Schizosaccharomyces pombe: one gene and its partner. The gene in region 1 interacts genetically with each later gene. Each region holds a gene or a part of one and is shown in the gene's direction. Other genes may lie near its edges.

The links.
Region 2: of atg8 (region 1) and isp6, changing one suppresses a phenotype caused by changing the other (phenotypic suppression), as found in Schizosaccharomyces pombe (one study listed by BioGRID).

What each region holds. Positions count from the first base shown.
Region 1 is NC_003423.3:3,683,766-3,687,511, reverse strand, and holds atg8 (autophagy-associated protein Atg8), read left to right. Parts: upstream 1-2,141; 5' UTR 2,142-2,246; coding exon 2,247-2,280; exon of another isoform or gene 2,281-2,361; coding exon 2,362-2,417; exon of another isoform or gene 2,418-2,583; coding exon 2,584-2,859; 3' UTR 2,860-3,231; downstream 3,232-3,746. Other genes in the region: SPOM_SPBP8B7.26 (uncharacterized protein), read right to left, coding at 1-249, 304-388; cyclophilin family peptidyl-prolyl cis-trans isomerase Cyp4, read right to left, coding at 913-1,055, 1,149-1,611; rnf10 (ubiquitin-protein ligase E3), read right to left, coding at 3,430-3,746. UniProt on the Schizosaccharomyces pombe protein: Ubiquitin-like modifier involved in autophagosome formation. With atg4, mediates the delivery of the autophagosomes to the vacuole via the microtubule cytoskeleton.
Region 2 is NC_003424.3:2,543,152-2,546,907, forward strand, and holds the start of isp6 (vacuolar serine protease Isp6), read left to right. Parts: upstream 1-1,690; 5' UTR 1,691-2,198; coding exon 2,199-3,602; 3' UTR 3,603-3,756.

The sequences.
Region 1 (3,746 bases):
GTTCCTTGGGGGGCTGTGAAGGTTGGGAATAAGAAGGCTGCGAATAAGAGGGTTTCGAATAATCTTGATTTCCTACAGCCGGGCTAGCCGTTCTAGGTGTACTTCCAGTACTACTACCACCGGCACGCAACTGTGAAGCATGTTTTGGAGGAGGAGGCAATTTTGTAACATCGACATATTTTATTGATAAACGAGGCCCGGTTCCATGAACGGATCTAATATCATACATAGCATCTTCGCCATGTTCACCTATAAATCCCATTTTGTTAGTAATGTCTCAAAAAGCAAAGGAAATATGCTTACCTGGTAATTTCGATGTAATCTTATTCTGGAAGCGGTTCGCAGAATCCGACATCGAATGCAGTGATTTTTTTGTTGAGTCAAACATTACGATTAGTTTGAAATTGATTTCTCACAATTGACGCAAAAACCGATTTTACCCAAATGTTTGCGGTGGACAGCTTCCGACTCTCGAAATTCCTTAAGTCCGCTTTTCTAAGAGCCCATAGGGTAAACAACTACACAACGTGCTAGTAATATCAGCCAGCTGATAGGAAAAAATAATGTCTTTGAGTTCTTTTTGATAAAACATAACAAAATAGTAAGCAGCTAATAAGCTTCGCGTTTGTTGTCAATACTTACTATCAGAATTGCAGCATTGCTATTACGCTTGCTAAATTGGATAATATACGTAGAGTTCTATATTCATTCAATTGAAAACTTGTTAAAATCGCATTCTTTATGCGTATATTAGTTATACAACTATGGCTGTCAGAAAATGCAAACAAACTACCACAAGAAGTGATCCTTCCAATGATAAACGTTTATGTTAACAGAATGTAAAATCATTGCTTTTCAAGTAAATCTTATAAACACTAGATGTTGATGACTTTCATAAATAGAAAGTAGGGATTACAATTCATCTGTTCCGTCATCTTCAACATTTTCTTGAGACAACTGCCCAGATTTGATAATTTTTACATCTTCAAGAGGCTTATCACGGTTGTCAGTCTCAGCTTTGGAAATTTTCTTGACAATATCGTAACCAGAAAGGACTGATAAAATTAGTATTAGCAAACAAAAAAAAGGAAAAAGAAAACAAATAGTCACTTTTATAAAACATATACAACTACAATATGAATTCTTACCTTCACCAAAAACAACATGGTGTCCATCTAACCAAGGTGTTTTAACTGTAGTAATGAAAAACTGAGATCCATTGGAATCGGGTCCAGCGTTAGCCATGCTAAGCAAACCGGGACGTTGGTGAGAAAGCTTAAAGTTTTCATCAGGAAAACGGCTGCCATAAATTGATTTTCCACCAGTACCATCACCCTTCGTAATATCACCACCTTGAATCATGAAATTGGGAATAACGCGATGGAAAATAGATCCTTCATATCCAAATCCCTTTTCTCCGGTGGCTAATGCGCGGAAATTTTCGGCTGTTTTGGGAACAGTTTTACCAAACAATCCAATGGTAACTCTTCCAAGGAACTCATCACCTTGTTGCAAGTCGAAATACACTGTGTCTGTAACTTTGGGGCCACGGTTGGCAGAGATAAGCCCAAAGAAAAGAGTAAAAAGTAAAGAGAAATAGAACAACTTCATTTTTGTTTTCACAAACTAAAAGCTTCGTTGTGTGGTAAAGGATAAATAAATAGTTATGGTGGGGTTTAATAGCAAGACTCGCTAGATTTTGGTTGCTGTAGCAACTTTTAGCACAATGTTAAGCAAATAATTCAAGAAGCGCTTATTTGTTTACATCAAACACTACTATTTTTCTAATGGTTTGATTATTTAATGAAAGATAGAAATAGTAATTATTTGCAAAATTCTATTTCCTAACCTTTTTTGGAAGGTATTTACGTGTTAAGCGTGCTATTATTTATTTACACAACGTCTTTATTTCCATTCTTGCTTTTCTTCCTAAAAGAGTTGTGACTTTTGTTGTACCAAGGATTGAGTATATACCAATTATGGCTATCATACTATAAAGAAGTAGTAAAAATTCCTTTTGATTGTGTACTGCTTAAGATTCGTAAAGTATTTATTTATTACGAAATAAGGTAACTTATCATAGTATCATAAGATTGCTTCATATCTCTGTATACGTTACCCAAGGGTACGCTTATTTATCCAAGACCGTATACCACATAACTCACGCACCGTTTACAAAGAACACCGAATTTTGAAGCAATTGAAGAGAGGAGTTACTACTTCAAGCAAGAAGTTTGAGAGTTCTCATGCGTTCTCAATTCAAGGACGACTTTTCTTTTGGTATGTGTCAAAAACTTATAGAAGTTGTTTTTTGGACAGCATTGTAGAATACCTGGAACTAGTAGGCTAATTAATAATCAGAGAAACGAAAAACAGAGTCTCAAAGAATCCGGGAAAAATATCCCGATCGAATACCTGTAAGTAGAGTCTGGTGGTCAAAGAGAACAGGTTTCAGAGCAAAATAGTGGTGAATTGAACAACACCCATTGTTTTTGTCATCAAAAGTGAATCCATTGTTACAAGTCTGACCTTTTTCTTTCAAAAATACAAATTACGTTTTAAACTTAACTGCTAACTTAACAGGTTATTTGCGAGAAAGTTGATAAATCTGATATTGCTGCAATAGATAAAAAGAAATATCTCGTTCCATCTGACCTTACAGTTGGTCAATTTGTATATGTTATTCGCAAACGGATAAAACTTTCTCCTGAGAAGGCCATCTTTATTTTCATTGATGAAATCTTGCCCCCGACAGCGGCCTTGATGTCAACGATATACGAAGAGCATAAAAGTGAGGACGGCTTTTTGTATATCACGTATTCAGGAGAAAATACATTTGGAACAGTGTTTCCTTTTTAGATCAACAATTTGCCTGTTTTAAGATGGCCCCGCCTTCTTTTAATTGTGATCAGCAAAATTGTTTGTGGACAATGGTTGAATGATTCTTTATGTTTTTTTTACTCTGCATTTCTAGCTTTTTAGCTTTCAAGTTTCTTTGCTTTTGCATTATGATTATTTTACGCGCGTCTTATACATATCATTCTCAGGTTAGCCACCACGATTTTAAGGATGTTTCAGATTTGTCTTACAATAGATGTGATGAACGCTTATGACTAGTTTGCTTTGACAACAAAGTTATTTTACCTTGTTAATTAATAAAAACCATCAATTAAAAAAATTGATTTTGATTTTCTAATAATATTAAAATGTTGATAAATAATAAGTAGATATATATCATCAGCTGATTCTATCCTTTTTTACATTAACTGGTTGTCATAATAGCGAATACTATTCACATGCCCCAAAAAATTGGTCAATCGTAAACTTTCATAATTCAAGCAACAAGTGTTATAACTATATTTCAAAATAAAGCCCACTCCTGCATTTCAAAAATTTCAGTAGCATTTCATCACTGAGAATGCTCCATCTTTATCGATGGGCGGCACCTGTTGATAATAAAACTAATTTCTTCTTTTTTTTGTTTTTTGAGTTTTTGGAAGGTGCAGATAATTGAGCAACTTTGTCCCAGTCAACTTTCCAACCATCAAGATCGTCTTGATCATCGGTGTCATTTTGAATATTGGCAAGAGCTCTTGTTCCCCAAACAGTCTTTGCAGTAGATAAGGTAGACTCATCTGTATTAACCTCATCGGTAGATTCAAATTGATGATGACTTCCCAATGTGGGGAATGCTTCAGCAGGGTCCTCATGCACTACGGTTTTTGGCACAGGTCTCTGCATATTTA
Region 2 (3,756 bases), on another chromosome or scaffold:
CGCTGCTTGAATAAAGTGATAAGTGCAACAGCTCCGATGATGGCAAGATATTTAGCGATTAGAGATTGTTTCGTTTCCAAAGTACCAAGTACTTATAACGAAATATATACAAAAGCTCCCAAATTCAAAATTGCTGGGTGTACGGCGCCACCAAAATACAGAACCGTCATTCATTTGTTCCAATATAACGCCATTGTTCTCTGTATTGTTTGCTAATTGTTTCAACTTGTTGAACTATTAGTGATGGTCTAGTCCAAACGACACCTGGAATGAGAGCGCATTGATGAAAGAGCTTCAACACAGCGCCCAATCTCTCTTACTGTGGGAATCTCAAACATTGTCAATGTTGTCACATGTTGTTTGTTCGTATACAAAGAAATGCAAATGCCATCCACGCATTCTGTTCATCATTAAAACTCTTTGATTAAATCCCTTGTACTGCATTAAATTTCATGGCTGCATAGAAGAAAAGTTACATAGGAAAGAGCCAGCGATTGCTACGAATACTCGCTCGATCTCACTCCACAGGCTGTTTCTTTAACAATTTATATAAGAATATACAAATAAGTAAAGTTTCATAGAAAAGAAGAAATGGATTTTATAGTGAAAATGGGGAATTTTAAAGTCCCTCATTGCTTCATCTAGCAACTCTTTCTTATATACAATAACCGAAATACGATGCATCGGTAATTAACTGTTTACGCACACACAATCTCTCAATCTTCTCTCCTCTAAAATAAATGTCTCCAACCAATTTGTTGATAAAGATAGAATGGCTGTTGTAATGTAGCAAACACTTATCAGGGGATGGATGGATGGATGGATGTTTTTCATCAAGCACTTGTTTACATGAGTGGGCGTTAGCTGAACACCGAGAGTCATGTTCATTCAATTGTGCTAGTGTTTTATAATTTATTTGTTTTCGTTTCAGTTTACTGTTTGTGTAGAATGAATACTAGTCATGAAAGGAAAGAATAAACCTTTCTGAAAATGAAATGACATTGAGTGCATATTGTTGAATATGGATATGCTGTTGCTTCCATACATTTGGAAATTTTGCAAACCTCTTTTTTTATGTATGTCCCGATCAATGTGTGTATCCGTGGATTACCAAGTTATCAGTGAATCGGCTTCCGTTCCTCCATATCTTTGAATTGCTCTTTTTTCTGCCCTAAGCAGCGCAATGCGCATGAAGCGTTATCATTCAATGTACCGAACAGAGTGGCAGTTGAGTGGCCCTTACCAATCCGGCCTTTCAAAGTTTATCTAAGAACCACTTGTTTGAGCTTATCGACCAATCACAGGCAATGGATCACCGTTCCTCCACTAACCACCTCGTATCGCTAGATTAGAGGGGTGACGTCAAGTGAACATATCGTGACTCGTTAAGTCAGCCAAGTAACGAATTGCGAAAGGGAGGGCGCGCTTGAGAAAGTGCTAATACAGCGATGCATGCAGAACAGTGGCATTTGACGAATAATCAAGGGAGAAAGCAGAGAAGTAAATGAACAGAATTTTTTTAAAAAAAATTATATTACAATTGAATTGAATGGATTTGGAATTGAGTTTTGCCTGCTTTTTTACGGAATCTCTGCTTCTATCTGTCCAAACTCCCTTTGTTGATGTTCGAGGGTTAGGGTACGGGTGGTGGATAGACTATATAAACGAAAGAGGTAGCCCCCATTGAGTCGTGTATCAGTACGCTCCTCGTTACAAAGTCAAACGTCTTAGAACAAGTTGCATTGGAATTGAATTTACCAGTGCCACTAGTTTTGATTTTGTTTCATTCACAGTCGTTTTTTTTCGCTTTGTGTTTTTCATTTGCTTGCAATTTTTTATTTTATTAAAGTAATTGTTAGAGAATTATTATAGTTTCTTTCTCCCTTTCTTTATAATAACTCTTAATCCCATTGTTCGCCCATATACTACTTACTATAGTTTGTATATAGCCCACAATTCTTTTTTTTTTTCTTTTATTCATCTCTCTCGATTTCTTCCTATCTGAACTTGGGATAGATAGTTAGTTTTTCAATAGTCTTTGTCATCTGTTTTCCTTGTCTTTCTTTCATAAGTAAACACGGAACAACGATACTTGCCTACTGTTCAGCAATCTCAGCAATTTAACCGCCTTCAATCACTACCCCAACCACAATCACAATCACTTCCCCCTCCAACAGCCTCGTCTTCTCAGCATCAACATGAGAATTCCTTATTCAAATCTTTTTTCTGCCGCCGCAGGTTTGGCCCTCTTCGCTTCTACTGCCTGTGCTGCACCAGTGATGCCAGCGACTGATTCGGACATTGCCCATGCTGGTATCCGTCCTGAGCTCGATAACGCTTTCTACGACTCCCACGGCGAAGCCGCTACCCCTAAGCACAAACCTCATGCTGGTCCTAATGCCGCTCCTCTCTTGTCTGCTTCCAACGCCGATACCACTGGACTGGACTCTCACTATATCATTGTTTTGCAGCCTGATTTGAGCGAACAAGAATTCCAAGCCCATACTAATTGGGTCTCGGAGATGCACCAAATGGACATTGCTTCTCAAGAAGATGAGTACTACGATACTAGTGATAGTAATTACATGTTTGGCTTGAAGCATGTTTATGACTTTGGCGAGGACTCTTTCAAAGGTTATTCTGGTCAATTCAGCTCTAACATTGTTGAGCAAATTCGCTTGCATCCTCATGTCATCGCCGTCGAGCGTGATCAAGTTGTCAGCATTAAGAAACTTGAAACTCAAAGTGGCGCTCCTTGGGGACTTGCTCGCATCTCTCACAAATCCGTCAAATACGATGATATTGGCAAATATGTTTACGATTCCAGCGCTGGTGACAACATCACCGCTTATGTTGTAGATACCGGTGTAAGCATTCATCATGTTGAGTTCGAAGGTCGCGCTTCTTGGGGTGCAACCATTCCCTCTGGTGATGTTGATGAGGATAACAATGGTCATGGTACGCATGTTGCTGGTACCATTGCTAGCCGTGCTTATGGTGTTGCAAAGAAGGCTGAAATCGTTGCTGTCAAGGTTCTCCGTTCCAGTGGATCTGGTACCATGGCTGATGTGATTGCCGGTGTTGAGTGGACTGTTCGTCATCACAAATCGTCCGGCAAGAAAACCTCTGTTGGCAACATGTCTCTTGGTGGCGGCAACAGCTTTGTTTTGGATATGGCTGTTGATTCTGCCGTTACCAACGGTGTTATTTATGCCGTTGCTGCTGGAAATGAGTATGATGACGCTTGCTATTCATCTCCTGCTGCTTCTAAGAAAGCCATCACCGTTGGCGCTTCCACTATAAACGACCAAATGGCCTACTTCTCTAACTATGGTAGCTGTGTTGACATCTTCGCTCCTGGACTTAACATTTTGTCTACATGGATCGGTTCAAATACTAGTACTAACACCATCTCTGGTACTTCTATGGCAACCCCTCATGTTGCAGGTTTGTCCGCTTACTACCTTGGCCTACACCCTGCTGCCAGCGCTAGCGAAGTTAAAGATGCTATCATTAAGATGGGTATTCACGATGTACTCTTGTCTATTCCTGTTGGTAGCAGCACTATTAACCTTCTCGCTTTCAATGGTGCTCAAGAATAGATTTTACTTCATGTTGGATGCATTCGATGTTTTCAATAAGTCGGTGTTTGATTTTCAATACATCGAGTAATTGTTTTATTTTTTTGAAAACGTTTGCTCCTTTTATGATTGTTCTTTACAAACAGTTTATAATGATTGTTATGACAATAAATAT